Linked DNA regions of Mus musculus. The protein of the gene in region 2 binds, or shares a complex with, the protein of the main gene of each other region. Links are inferred from orthologs where the notes say so. Each region holds a gene or a part of one and is shown on either strand. Other genes may lie near its edges.

The links. The genes of interacting proteins can lie anywhere in the genome.
Region 1: the proteins of Cenpa (region 2) and Ntmt1 are in contact, whole or in part, in a crystal structure (PDB 5CVD), measured with the Homo sapiens proteins. The link is inferred for Mus musculus from reciprocal best matches to the Homo sapiens genes CENPA and NTMT1. Residues at the interface, in NP_001800.1 of Homo sapiens: Gly2, Pro3, Arg4, Arg5, Arg6, Ser7; in NP_001273725.1 of Homo sapiens: Tyr19, Trp20, Met30, Leu31, Gly32, Tyr34, Ile37, Trp136, Asn168, Ile175, Asp177, Asp180, Asp212, Glu213, Ile214, Tyr215.

What each region holds. Positions count from the first base shown.
Region 1 is NC_000068.7:30,804,790-30,812,197, reverse strand, and holds the start of Ntmt1 (N-terminal Xaa-Pro-Lys N-methyltransferase 1), read right to left. Parts: upstream 4,231-7,408; 5' UTR 4,115-4,230; exon of another isoform or gene 3,833-4,114; intron 1-3,832. UniProt on the Homo sapiens protein: Distributive alpha-N-methyltransferase that methylates the N-terminus of target proteins containing the N-terminal motif [Ala/Gly/Pro/Ser]-Pro-Lys when the initiator Met is cleaved.
Region 2 is NC_000071.6:30,664,486-30,671,835, reverse strand, and holds the start of Cenpa (histone H3-like centromeric protein A), read right to left. Parts: upstream 4,951-7,350; 5' UTR 4,808-4,950; coding exon 4,723-4,807; intron 2,838-4,722; exon of another isoform or gene 2,784-2,837; intron 2,145-2,783; exon of another isoform or gene 2,015-2,144; coding exon of another isoform or gene 2,008-2,014; intron 1,462-2,007; coding exon of another isoform or gene 1,426-1,461; intron 1-1,425. UniProt on the Homo sapiens protein: Histone H3-like nucleosomal protein that is specifically found in centromeric nucleosomes. Replaces conventional H3 in the nucleosome core of centromeric chromatin that serves as an assembly site for the inner kinetochore.

The DNA of each region.
Region 1 (7,408 bases), on a different chromosome or scaffold from region 2:
AGATTTCCTGATGGAGGGTAACAGGGGAGTGGAGAGAGAGCTTCCTCTTCAAAACCTCCTGAGGGGTGCAGGATGGGATAGAGGGCGCTGATGGCCTAGGGACCTCTCTCCTTTCCTCCATTGTCATGGCCTTAGAGGGAGGGAGGGAGGGAGGGAGGGAGGGAGGGAGGGAGGGAGGATGGGTTGGTTTAACCAGGCAGAGAAGGCTCTTTCACTAGGGTCTCACAGGTGGTTAGCTAGGCCACCTGGTCCAGGTGGCCTGGTTTTTCACAGACAATGTCCTTCACTCTATAGTCATTGGTTCCTTCCTTAGGCTATCCCACACCGAAGGTGACCCAGTCATCTCTTCAGAAGACAGACATCTTTTTCTTTACATGAAGTCCTTATCTGGCTGCTAATTTACAGATCTCCTTGAAATGATCTAACGTAAGACTCAAGGGGGTGGAGCTGCTTTGGCCCATTTCTAGAATCAAGACAATTACAAATAGAGAGAGAGAGACACAAAAGATCAATTCACACAGAAATGTACTGGGACAGCACATGAAAATTCAGAATGAAGGCCTGTCCCAAGAGTGGGTTCCGACCTGCCCCGTTCTGTCAGAACCACCAGTGGGATCAAGTCCCTTTCAGGTGGGACCCTCAAGTCTACTTCAAGTGGGTCACAATGACGAGGGTTCCACTGGTGTCTGCCTGAACCACCTGTGGCCTCTAGTAATTGGCTTAAGCTACTGACAAACTCAGACTGTCTGGACATACAGGAACACAGACAACTGGGACACAGAGTACTCATGTACCAGCCAGTGGTCAAACATTCAATGTGACAAGGGTGTCAGGGGTGCTTCCTGGCCCACGCACCAAAAATGTTAAGTCTAAAAGTGCTGCTCGGAGACCACCACTCACATATGCGATTGGCAAGTGTTTTTATTTCAAGAAAGCAAGAAGTCTGCATGCAGAGATAGGCCATACCAGACAAAGGTGTGCAGGCCATTTTATAGGGAACTAGGGAATTTTGGCTAGGGTTAGGTAATCTAAAATTTCCCTGGTGGGTGCCAGGGGATGTTACATGGGTCAGTTTCTGATTTGCTTGTGTCCAGGTGGTCAGTGGACTATACTGAGTCTAACCACAGAATCAGAGATACCCACACCATCTAAGGCTGCCCAGCACAGCATCCTGAGATATGGTACTTCCCCATCCTTTTGGTTCTCTCCAGGCTGTTCTTTGCATGGGGTATTTTATGGTCTGTTCCTGGAGCTGGTGAATTATGGCCTAGTTCCTGGGACTGATGACTTAGGGGCGTGTATGGCTAGTTCCAAGAACAGAGCCTTCCCTTTTGAAGTCAGGCCTGGTCCTACAATGAGATCATCCTCTCAACAGTAGGGTAGGCCGGATCGGAGCCTGGCTCTGCTTACCAGCTGTGCAAGCTCAGATAGGGCCCTTAGCGGGTACAGTGTGTTCCATGCCTATATCGCTAGCACTCAGGAGGCTGAGGCAAGAGGATCAGGAGATCAAAACCAGCCTGATTCAAGAAACCAAACACAGTTCAGTTGGCAGTGTTTGCCTAAGATGCACAAAAGCCTGGGTTCAAGCCTCAGGACCCCCAAAACTGAACATGGTGCGCACGCCTGTAATCCCAGCACTTCAAAGGCTGAAGCAGGTAGGTCAGGAGTTCAAAATCATCCTTGGCTACAAAGTGACTTTGAGGCTAGCCTAGACTACATGAAATATTGTATCAAAAAATAAAAGAAGAAACAACTTGGGCTGCAGATCCAGGGCCCTCACCTCCACCTCTCAAAATAAATGACTAAATAACAAGCAAGATACTCTGCTATAAATTATTCTTAATATAAATATAAACGGCAAATTTAAATGGCCTGTATTTCTTTACCTTATGCTAGTCCCCAATAACTACACAAGAAAGCCAAGATTTATTTAAGTCCGCATCTCAATAACTGAACAATCAGATGGTCTCCCTTAGCCTTCTATGGTAATCTAGCCACCTCCCAGACACAGCCCGTGTGAGCTCTCTCCAGACCCTTTCTTCATAGCTCCAAATTCCCCATCCTCCCTGATGATCTCCGAATCTCCCTCTCCTATCTCCTTCCTCTGGTTGGCAGATGAACGGCCCTCTTCCCTATTCTGCCCAGGTATTGGTGAGATCAGCATTGACAAAACAGAGAATAAATGGTAAAAAAAAAAACTGTTTACATAGACTTAAGACCAGAGATTCTTATCCACATCTAAAAAAAGATAACTAAGGCAGAGAAATCAGCATTTGAATTACACAGCGTATAAACACAGTCTGCCTACCCATTGTGCCTGTCCTCCTCTTTTCACTCTGAGACCATGGCTGGTCTGAAACTCACCCTGAACTTCATAGAGAAGCTGTAGTTATTAAACAAGCCTGAGAAGCCCCAGGCTCCACTGTGGAAGGCACATACTCTCTTGAGCGTACAGTTCTCCACTGTCAGAGACGTTTGGTGAGATGGTTCAGCTGTTAGAGCGAGCACTGCCTGCTCTTCTCAGCATCTCACAGTGGAAAAGCTCCAAACCAGCAATCACTGCGGTTCCTGGTGATCTGATGCCTTCCCTTTGCCTTCCTGGGCCCTGCCCCCATAGACAGATAATCAAATATAAAAATAATTTAAAAAAAAAAAGCCTTAAACACGGAGGCTGGAGACAAGCTCCAGTCAAGAACACCAGCTGCTCTTCCAGAGGTCCTGAGTTCAATTCCCAGCAACCACATGGTAGCTCACAACCATCTGTAATGGGATCTGATGCCCTCTTCTGGAGTGTCTGAAGACATCAAAAGTATACTTGCATACATATAACAAATTTTTTTTTTTTTTTTTTTTGGTTTTTTGAGACAGAATTTCTCTGTGTAGCCCTGGCTGTCCTGGAACTCACTCTGTAGACCAGGCTGGCCTTGAACTCAGAAATCCGCCTGCCTCTGCCTCCCAAGTGCTGGGATTAAAGGTGTGCAGCACCACTGCCCGGCAATAAATAAATCTTTAAAAAAAATCTTAAAACACAATTTTTCTCTCTGTCTTTCTGTCTGGTTTTTGAAATAGGGTTTCTCTGTGTAGCCTTGACTGTCCTAGAACTCATTCTGTAGACCAGGTTGGCCTCAAACCCAGAGATCCACCTGCCTCTGCCTCCTGGATGCTGGGATTAGAGGCGTGTGCCACCTCTGCCTAGTTCAAACATAGTTAAAAAGATCAAGTAAGGAAAACGTGTTAAAACCTCCAAATCACACAGACCCTGGTAAAGCTGGAGCCCACCTATGAGATCATGTGGCCTTTGGTCAGTCCAGAAGATGCAAACACAAGCTCCGGGTACACCCAGAACCACACACCTGCAGACTCTGACCTTTTGATTATGTGGCTCTGGCCTTCAGGAAAGCATCCCCCCTCCCCCCAACACACACACAAGCACACACACAGGAAAGCCAGCTTAAGGAAACGATGTGCCTTAAAACAGCACTTGGGAAAGGACCAAAAGTTAGGAGAGGATTTAGGCTTCTCACTTAGACCCCAGTCACTGAGTGCCCCACCCCATACATCATTGTCATCAGTTACAGCACCTGTCCTAGGCCCTTATCAAAAGGATTAAAGACCAAAATGATCACACAGTTGGTGGAGCAGCAAAGCCTGGAGCATCTGGAAAAGATGGCAGGCAGCCTTGCAGAAGAGAGGCTGACCTTGGCCTCAAGGGCTCATGACAGTAACGATGTTGGCCAGAGCTGGAGGCAGTTAAACGTGATGGCAACCCGTGCAACCAAGCACTTAACTGCGAGGACTTGAGCCAAGCACGGCGCCGATTCCACACACCAACCTTGCAGTGGCTGCTTTCCTTATCTCAGAGGGGAAACTGAGGACTGGAAAGTGATGTACGGGCGCGAGTGAAGATACGTCTTGCCAGCCTCCACCAACGTGGCTTCCTCCAACCCAATCCGTGGTCACCAGAGTCCCTGCCCAGGTCTGATCGGTGAACCTCCATGGGACGTGCACGTGGGCCAGGGCCAGGCCCAGGTCACTTGACGACGGGGCCTCACCGCTTCAGGCAGTTGGGGTGAGCACCTCCCTCCTCCCTGGCCGCGTCCCTCGCGATACTTACCTGGGTCGGGGCTCCAGGGACCCGAGAGAAAAGGACGGGTTGAGAAGGAGGCTGGCAAAGACCGTAGCCCACAGCAGCCGCCACCACTCTACCGGACCAGACACCTCGCGGCCTCTGCCTTTGTCCGCACACGTCACTTCCCCGAGCCTGGAGGGGGCTGGACTCAAGATCGCTCCGCCCCGAGGCCAGTTCACTCCGCCCCAAGACTAGCTCATCCCTCTCCACAGACAGATAGCCCCTCCCCAGGGCCAGATCGCCGCGTCCCACAGGCAGCTCACGTCCAGATCGTCCCTCCCCCACAGCCAACTCCGCCCTCTCCAGGGCCTGCTCACACCTCTCCACGCCCCCACAGCCAACCCCGCTCCACGGCCTGCTCACTCGACACGCCCAGAACTTCTCTCCGCGCGACTAACTCGCCCCTCCCCACGCCCAGCTCGCCCAAACACAAGACCAGCTAGTTCCGCCCCACGGCCAATTCGCCCCTCCCCATCGCTACCTCGCTTGTCCCCGAGGCCAGTTCACCCCGCCCCCTGGCCAGATCGCCGCACTCCAAGGTTTGATCGCCCTATTCTTCGGCCAGATCGCCTTTTCCTTCGGGATCCTAACCCAGTTTTTTGCCTACGCGCAGGGACTTCATGATGAAGGATCCACAGCTGATATCTCACACACTTGAGGGTGTAGCTCTTTTAAGACAAGAGTCCAACTGAGTTCTGGCCGTAAACTTCAGGATCCTTCTGCATCATCGACGTGGTTGCTGGGGTTACAGGCACGCGCCTCCATGCGCCACAAGGCTGGATTCTTAAAAACCAACATCATGAGAGTTTTCCACCCTAAAAGGAGAATTAAGCCGGGCGTTGTTGGCGCACGCCTTTAATCTCAGCACTCGGGAGGCAGAGGCAGGCGGATTTCGAGGCCAACCTGGTCTACAAAGTGAGTTCCAGGACAGCCAGGGCTATACAGAGAAACCCTGTCGGGGGGGGGGGGGGAGGAGGATTAAAAGCCATTGTTGCTCAAATCCACCCATGCCCACTAGTATATTAAAATAATATATCAACCCAGGAAAGAGAACAGGAAAGAAAGGCTTTGACAGAGGTAAGGATTGCCAGGCCAAATAAAGCAGAAATCTAGAAGTTTGCCCTCCTGAGGACCGCCCTTCCCTATCCACTCAGACAATCTGCACCGGGTCTTGAAGGAAAGATGAGCTTGCTGCATGCAAACCCCCTCTAACCGCCTCGGAGTTCTAAGTTGCCTCTTCTAACTGGTGGATGTAATGATTCAGCTACAATACTCTGAGGGTTAAATTTGTGGGATTTGCGAGTTTAGGCTAGAGTCTAGTGGGGCTTGCAGGCAATGAAGGTTATCATAATAAGTATTTTTGCCTTAAGCTCACCTCTGTTGGCTGACACACCGGCTGTTAGACATACTTGTCATGCCTCCTGGGCTCTGCATTACAGTAGGTGCTTAAAGTTGTGTTTTGCTTTTACTTATTCTTTTTTTTTTTTTTTTCCTTTTCTGGATCAGTGCCTTGCTAGGTAACCCAGGATGGCCTGAAACTCACAGTGATCCTCCTGCCTTTGAAATGCTGGGATTGAAAGAATGCACTACCACACCTAATGTGTATTTACACATTAATACTGAAAGCAATAGAGGCTTAGGAGGCGGAAAAATCCTACCCCCAATTGAGTCCCCACCCCAAATCTGTGCACCTAATAGTTGATAGCTACTCTGGGTTATTCTAGGTATTACCTGGTTTCAATAGTTCAAAGAGCTATTCACCACCCCAAAGTGGTGAATACTTGTAATCCCAGCACCTGGGAAGTGGAGGCCGGAAGACAAGGAATTAAAGGTTATCTTTTGCCGCACAATGAACTTAACACCAGCCTACACTACCAGAGACCTAGTCTCAAAAACAAAAGCCAAGGAGCTGAAAAGATGACTTGTGACTCAGCAGTTAAGAGTGCTTGTTGGGGCTTTAGAGATGGCTCAGTGGTTGAGGGCACTGGCTGCTCTTCCAAAGAACCTATATTCAAATCCCAGCAACCACATGGCAGCTCACAACTGTCTGTAACTCAAAGATCTCACACCCTCACACAGACATATGTGCAGGCAAAATGCCAAAGCACATGAACATAAAAACAAAAATAAATTATCTTAAGAAAGGAAGGAAGGAAAGAAGGAAGAGTGCTTCCTGCTTTTACAGAGAACTAGAATTCTGTTCCCAGGCAATCTGACCCCTTCTGGACTCAAAAGACACCTGCACGTATGTATGCATGCACACATGCTTATGCACACAGAGATAAGTAAAAAGTAAAATTTCCTTTAAAATGCAAGTTTGGTCTGGTGTGGTGACTCACACCTTTAATCCCAGCACTCAGGGGGCAGGGGCAGGAGGATCTCTGTGAGCTCAAGCCCTGCCTAATCTATAGAATGAGTTCCAGGACAGCCAAAGCTACACAGTGAGACATGGTCTCAAAAAAGCCAAAATTATTAATAATAAGAAGGAGAAGGAAGAGGAGGAGGAGGCTTGAGGAAACTGTTCACAAAAGCTGGCTCAGCCCTTAAGAGTACAAACTGCTCTTCCAGAAGATCTGAGCTCAGTCCCTAGCGCACATGTTGGGTGTCTTTACAACCCCTGTAACTCCAGCTCCAGCGGATCCTGCTAAGGCCTGGGTAACTGCTGCCCGTCTAGCCAGATATTTTATGCTGTTATTACTGCTATAAAGAAAACTTCTCATGTGTTGTTTCTAGGAATCTTTCTCATTCCCAAGTTGATTGCATATTCTGGTATGTCCTGAGCTTTGGTACTATTAAAAACCAGTCAGTTTGAACAGCTTTGTACAGCTAGCCACAATAAGCTTGGACCTAAATCAACCACCCAGCAGCACTTCCTGCATCTATGTATAAACGTTTATGGGTTTTGCTTTTATAAGCTGCCCCTGGGATGGACCCCGACATAAGAGAGACGCCTGCACCAATATAAGAAGCTACTTGGAATAAGACTTCCATTTTGAGTAGGGGTGAGTAAAGTTCCTGAGACCTCCCTGGGAACTGACATCTTACTTGGCAGAAAGAGTCCTGTACATGGGTAAATGATATCCTGGTTGGCAAGTTAAGACATGAATGTCAGGCAAGGTAAGTCACCAGCACAGTTAAACACCCCGACAAATGAGGACAGGATAAATGTACAGCAAAGACGTGCTCCTAAGGAAGTTCCCTATTCCTAAATCCTGACTGATGAAATAACTTGGCACAAACATTCATGGATTTCATGCTTAAAAGCTCTGTAGGATTCTG
Region 2 (7,350 bases):
CCACAACACAGACAGAAAACACACTTCTAACTCTCTAAAATGTTGAAGAAGAAACTTAACTGATATTAGACTACTTAAAATGAAAAATATGGGGGCTGGTGAGATGGTTCAGCAGGTAAGAAAACTGACTGCTCTTCCAAAGGTCCCGAGTTCAAATCCCAGCAACCACATGGTGGCTCACAACCATTCGTAATGAGATCTGACGTCCTCTTCTGGAATGTCTGAAGACAGTCAGAGTGTATTTACATAATAAAAAATCTTAAAAAAAATGAAAAATATAAAAATTTTCTTCTCAAAACCTGACACACCCCAAATTCACCAGAAGCAAATGAATAACCTGAAATAGATCTAGCAGAAAACAAGAATGCCAAATGAGTTAAGGTCTGAAGATGGCTCAGTTGTCAGAGCATGTACCATTCTTACAGAAGATCTAAGTTTGGTTCCTAGCACCTGTGGCAGTTGGCTCACACTGCCTATAACCACTTGCCTGTAACTTTAGGGCCAGGATCTGGTGATCGGCCCCCTTGGGAACCTGTATTAATGTGCACATACATATAATTAGACATAAAAATTGGGCTGGAGAGATGGTTCATTGGCTAAGAGTATTTGTTGTTCTTATAGAGGACCTAGGTTTGGTGCCCAACATCCATATGGTGGCTTACAACCATCTAACTCCAATTCCAGAGAATCCAACATCCTGACACCTGTGTCTGACTTCTGTACACATACACATTCATACGCTCACATATATATATGTATATACACACACATATATAGATACAGTCACACATATATGCAGGTAAAACACTCACACATATAAATAATTTAAAAAAATATTTGTGTATAGTAGGTGTTTTGCCTGCATGTATGTCTGTGTCCCATGTGTATGCCTGGTACCTGCAGAAGTTAGAAGGGCAGTTAGCTACTCTGGCACTGTGTTGATGGTTGTTAGCCACTATGTGGTGCTAGGAATCAAACCCTAGACCTCTGGAAGAGCAGTCAGTGCTCCTAACTATTAAGCCAATTTCCAGGCCCTCTAAATAAATCGTTTTGATTTTGTTTTGTTTTTTGGTTTTTCGAGACAAGGTTTCTCTGTATAGCCCTGGCTGTCTTGGAACTCACTCTGTAGACCAGGCTGGCCTCAAAATCCACCTGCCTCTGTCTCCCAAGTGCTTGGATTAAAGGCATGTGCCACCACTGCCCAGCTTATAAAAATAAATCTTAAAAACACAAAGATAGCTGAGTTAAATTCAACTCAAGTGTTAGTTATTGAGATAAACAAGACATTAAATACAGTAGTGATACTGAAAATGAAATAAGTAAGTAGTATAACTGTCAATAAATATAAGTAATTGACTGATTAAAATGATTATGTCTAAAACAAAACAGAAGCACACACAAGGAACTGGCCGGAGGAACACTTGCCTTGTACACACAAGGCCCTGCGTTCAATCCTTAGTCCTGCAAAACAGGAACACGTAGCTTTAGCTAGGTTATTTAAAGCCCAGCCAATTCGATCCCAAGCAGTGAGGAACACTGCAAGGAAAATGGAAGAAGGGAGACGGGACCAGTGCAGGGGCGGCCTGTGCCAGGCAGGAGGTGGAGACTTAACCACCGGTGAGGTCAGGATGATAAAGCAAAGACACAGAGCAGTGTGTAGGAGACTGGAGACACTGAAGACAGAGAGGCAGAGCAGTGTGTAGAGACTGGAGACACTGAAGACAGAGAGGCAGAGCAGTGTGTAGAGACTGGAGACACTGAAGACAGAGAGGCAGAGCAGTGTGTAGGAGACTGGAGACACTGAAGACAGAGAGGCAGAGCAGTGTGTAGAGACTGGAGACACTGAAGACAGAGAGGCAGAGCAGTGTGTAGAGACTGGAGACACTGGAGACACTGAAGACGGAGAGGGAGGACCCTGCTCGACTTTGGTTGTTGTTGCTGTGATAAACACCACCTCCAAGACCTACCTGGAGAGGGAAGGGTTGATTTGGCTTATATGTCACTCACCGTCCATCAGCAGAAGCCAGGGCAGGAGCTCAAGGCAGGAATCTGGAGGCAGAATCCTTGGAGGAATGCTGCTTACGGCCTGCTCCCCTATCTTTAAATCCAGATAGGAGGTGGTGGGCTACAGTGGACTTGGCCCTCTGACAAAGATAAGCAATTAAAAAAAAATGCTTAACAGACATGGCCACAGGCCAGCCAGTTTGATAGAAGTAATTGCTCAGTTGAAGTTCCTCCTTCCTGGGTTTGTATCAGGCTGTCAACTGAAGCTAGCTATGATGGGCCATAACTAAAAGATAAACTACAAATGGCTGCCTCCTCCCCACCCCACCATTTTCGAGATCTGGGCTTTTGGGGGCTAGAGGGTGATGTTAACAGGTACACACTCACAGAAAATGAAGGCAACACAACTAGAGACCACCAAAGAATGTGACTAACACCAGAAGGAAAAGGAGCCAAAACCAAGAATCAAAATAAACTATACTCAAGGAGTTTGAATAGCGAGAGAACTGAATGCCGTGCCGTGTGCGATCCATCGCTGAGAGGCAGAGGTAGGAACCTCCACTGGGCTACATGGAGAGAACTTATTCTCTCCCAGAAAAGAAAGATTTTGAGAAATAGAAGAGGAAGAGAACTCCAAGACTCATGATACACAAACAGGTGTTTATGAAACGGAAGTGATCAGAGATGACCTGGAAAGAACTGCATTCAAACACCCTGAGGCTGGGTCTCAAAGGTCAACGTTAGCAGGTGGGAGCCCGAGAATTTCAAGCAGGACTTACACACTAAAGCTCTCTCCAGTCAGGCCCACAGGCCCTCACCTACAGTTCCAACACCTGGAATACAGAGACAGGGTGTCCTGAGCTCAGGGTTAGCCTGGGACACATGGATGTCACTGTCACACACCTAAAATGGTTTTATTTTATTCTATGTGTATGTGTATCTGTTTTGCCTATGTGCATGTCTGTGTGTGTGCAGTACCTGCAGAGGCCAGAAGGATCCCCTGGAAATGGAGTTACAGATGGCCGTGAGCTGTTATGTAGCAAGAACAACACAAAGTCCCTTACAGCACAAAAGGGAGATATGTCTAAGGGCCCACATAAAAGAAGGGTTGGTTGACTTGGGAAAGGAGGGGGCACCTAGCAAGGCCTGAGGCTGAATGGAGAGGAAGGAGGGGGGAATAAAAAGCACCAAATGGCTGGAAGAACAAGGTCAGCAGACAAGGGCAGTAGGAGAGCCAAGAAGTGGGCGCAGCTGATGTAAAACTTTTCCCTAAGATAAGAGTAATGGAAGGTTGCTTCTACACTGGAAGTCCACATCGAACATCAGCTCTGGTCGAGCGGTACAACCATGACCACATTATTCCCTTAGGGGCTCACCATACCTCAATGAGAAATAGAATGTGGTGGTGCATGCCTTTAATCCAAGCACCAGAGAAGCAGAAGCAGGCATGTAAATCTAATTCTAAGTCCTTCCTTACCCCCCTTTTTATTAACAAGCTGCTGGCATTAAGCTAGGTAGGTTCTGAGATATTCTTTTTTTTTTTTTTTGAGGCAGGGTTTCTCTGTATAGCTCTGGCTGTCCTGGAACTCACTTTGTAGACCAGGCTGGCCTCGAACTCAGAAATCCGCCTGCCTCTGCCTCCCGAGTGCTGGGATTAAAGGCGTGCGCCACCGCGCCCGGCGGTTCTGAGATATTCTAACCCGGCTAGGCTGCTGTTACCAGGCTATATGACCCATTATTTGCCATCTGATCTTGCCCTGGCTCTCTCTGGTCCATGTGGGTCCTCATGGCTGCTCTCTTATCCAGACCTCATGAGTAATCCTTCTTCACCCACATGGTCTCTCCATCTCTTCTTCTCACCTGGTCTCTTCAGGACCCTCTGATTGGGAACAGAAGTCCCACTCTTCTTTCTTCTGCCCAGCCAATTGGTTGATCAGCTCATTAACCAATCAGAGGTGATGGAAAACAGTTTTTACATCACATTGAGGCAGTGTCTGGATTGTAACCAGATCTCAGAAATAGTTCCTGAATACACACTGCATACAACCATCCCCAACACAGGCAGAGATCTGTGAGCTCTAGGCTAGCCTAGTCTACATAGCACGTTTCAGGTCAGCAAGCCAAGGCTACACACCGATACATACCGAGTTCCCGTCTTAAAAAAAAAAGGGTCGGGGAGAGGGTTGGGGATATAGTTCTGTAGTAGAACCCTTGCCTAACATACACGGAGTCCTGGGTTCCATCTCTAGTGCTGCAAATAAATAATAAAGAGTAGGAGTTAGAAAGCTGGTTCAGCTGTTAATAGCCCAGGCTGCTCTTCCAGGGGGGCCGAGTTCTCTTCCTAGCACTCTAAAAAAAAGGGCAGCTCACAACTGTAACTCCGGCCCCGGGGTTCCGACGCTCTCTTCTGGCCGTCGCCAGAGCACGAACACAAAATAAATGCAAAATACATGCAAAGTAAATAAATGCAAAAAAAGACCCCGTGTCCGTCAGAATGAGTTTGTCTTTGCTCCAACTCCTTGTCTTGTCTGCATTTCGTTTTTCTCCCTGCTGTAAACCGGTCAGGAACAAACAAGCAAACAAACAAACAAATAAACAAAAAAACCATTACCCCTACGCGAGGTTAGCGGCAAGCCGTGACCAGGAACCGTCCCTCTACAGGCCCGGCCCCACAGGATGACCGCACCGGCCTCGGAGGTGCAGGGCAGGCTCGCTTACCTACACTGGAGCTCTGTCGCGAGGGTCCAGGCGCCGGGCTGGAGGGTCTCCTCCTTGGGGTCTGCGGTTTGCGACGCGGGCCCATGGCTGGCCTCGAGGGGCCGGGTCCCGCCGCCTTCCCTAAGCCTTCTTGGTCCTGCTGCCGAAACCGAACGCGAGCAAGCCCAAGGTGCGCGTCAGGACCGCCAGAACTCGGTCGCCAGCAGTTCAAAAAATCACCCGCCCCTCCCACCGCATCTTTTAAATCCCAACTTTGTGACTCTCAGTGGCTGGTTCTGGAAAGCCAGCGTGGAGCGACATCCAGATAAACCAATGAGAATAAAGGTCTGAAGCCAATGGGTACTTGAAGACGGGAAGGAAGGCAGGATTTCCCCACCCTTTTCCTGTTGATCTCTTTTTCAGATGCCCTCTGGGCAGGACGGCTCAGTTCTTACGTGGGTGGTGGGTTTGTAGAGCTCACTTCCTCAAAAGTTTTATGCTTTTCTATCAAACGTTGAGGTGGCTTTAAAAATACGGAAACAGATGCCCAAGAATGTGACAGCTCCACACAGCACCCGTGACACTCCTGAAAGCAACCAGCAAATATGATTCAGAAGCCTGGTTAACTGCATGACCTTTTCAGAAGATAGGGTCGTGGGGACAGCCAGGACGGAGGAATCTGAGGACAAGGTCCAGGCAGGGCAGGCGCCAGCACTATTATTGGACCATGCTATCAAACACAATGACAGAATTGCCTGAGAAAAAAACCGGCTTTTCCTTTTCTCCCGGGAGTAATATGAATTCAGGTCATGGCTCCGTAATTAGAATAAAGAGAATTTCGTCATTTTGCTTTTTTGAGTTTTCTAAATGATCTATCATGAACGTGTACTCTAATCAGGAAAATACTTATATAATCAGTGGTTTCATAGAAGCCTGGTGGAACATTGGGGTGGGTGGTGTAAAATGGCACAGCTGCTATGGAAATGTGTCATGGTTCGAATCTGAAATGTCCTCCAAAAGTTTGGTGTCCTCTGTGCAGCAGTGTTCAGAGGTTGGGCCACAGGTGCTCTGACTTCATCTGTGTATTCCTTTAATCCCAGCACTTGGGAAGTAAAAGCAGGTTTGTTATAAGGACAGGGCCAGTAGACCTACATAGTGAGTTCCAGACTAGTCAGAGCTATGAGCAAGATTTTATCTTATTTATTTTATTTTATTTTTGTCTCAAATAAACAAAAGACCAACAACCAACTCGTTCAATCTCCAGTATTTTACCAACAGACATGAAATTTAAACATAGAATTACTATATGATCCAGAAGTCCATATATATATATATGAAGACATCAGGATCCTCAGCAACTGTTAATTAGTCAGATAATATCCGTGTATGAAGTCTGCTCTAGACAGATAGCCCTTTAGTAAACTAGAAGGAGAAAGCTAGATTGAGGACAGACTCTACGATTCATAAGAAACTGATGATACTACCTATATAACTGTAATGGTGTGTGGGTTAAGGCATAAGAGGAGGGTAGTGCTTATTAACGTACGTAGTTTTGCATATTTTGGCTTTTGAACCAATCGGACTGTTGTACTGCAAGTGGGGGTGGGGCACCGGAAGAACGCAGGGCAAAATCCGAAATGAAGATCCACAGCTTGTATCTTCCTTCACCAGGCCGGAAGGGGAAACAGTGGAAGTCTGGGCCAGATGCTGTGATTTGTGGTTTCTTCTTTGGGTACCTGGCTGTCACTGGTGTACTGCCAGGAGTCAGGAATGGGGGTCCAAGATTTTACCCCCCTCCAACATCTGGGCATGCCAGGTGGAGAGGTCGAGGCAGAGCCCAGGATGAGTGAAACCTGGTCTGACTGGGAGTGAGGGCAGAGCGTGCTGGAAGAACTGGAGAGGAGAAGACCTTGCTCAGGGGTCTTAGGCGCAGCTCTTTAGTCAAAGGCCTTCTTCACCTCGTTTCTGAATGAAACAACTTTCTGAGACAATCTTTGCTTGCTCCTATTGCTTTATTTAATGATGGATGTGAATGCATATACTTTATTTGGGGTGAACCAGGGATTATATACCTCTTGTGGGAAGGAATATCTAGGAAGGGGCGCTCATTGGCTGAAGGCTCAGGGCTATCTAGATATCTCATTAGCATGGAGAAGAACTATAGATGTTGTGCTGGGTGACTCAGTGCCTGAGGTCTTCAGTGGAGTATCATGGTTATGTGTTCCAGAGCAGGTAGGCATGGCTCCACTTCTACCAGCCTGAGATCTCTCAGATTCCTGGGATCTGAGCTCACTCAACCATTCTAGTTCTTATGTCTGTCTGGTAACACGGTCCCACATGCCGTATATTAAACTACTAATTTTTTAAAAATACATCGAATGAAAACATATTGGGCTGAAGAAGTCACGTTGAACACTAGATGTCTCTGAGCTATGGACGAGTTGACTGGAACAAGAGTTGTAACATGTAGATCATAGAAACCCTCAGCAGCCGGGCATGGTGGCGCACGCCTTTAATCTTAGCACTCGGGAGGCAAAGGCAGGCAGATTTCTGAGTTCGAGGCCAGCCTGGTCTAGAGAGTGAGTTCCAGGACAGCCAGGGCTACACAGAGAAACCCTGTCTCAAAAAACAAACAACCAAAAAAAAAAA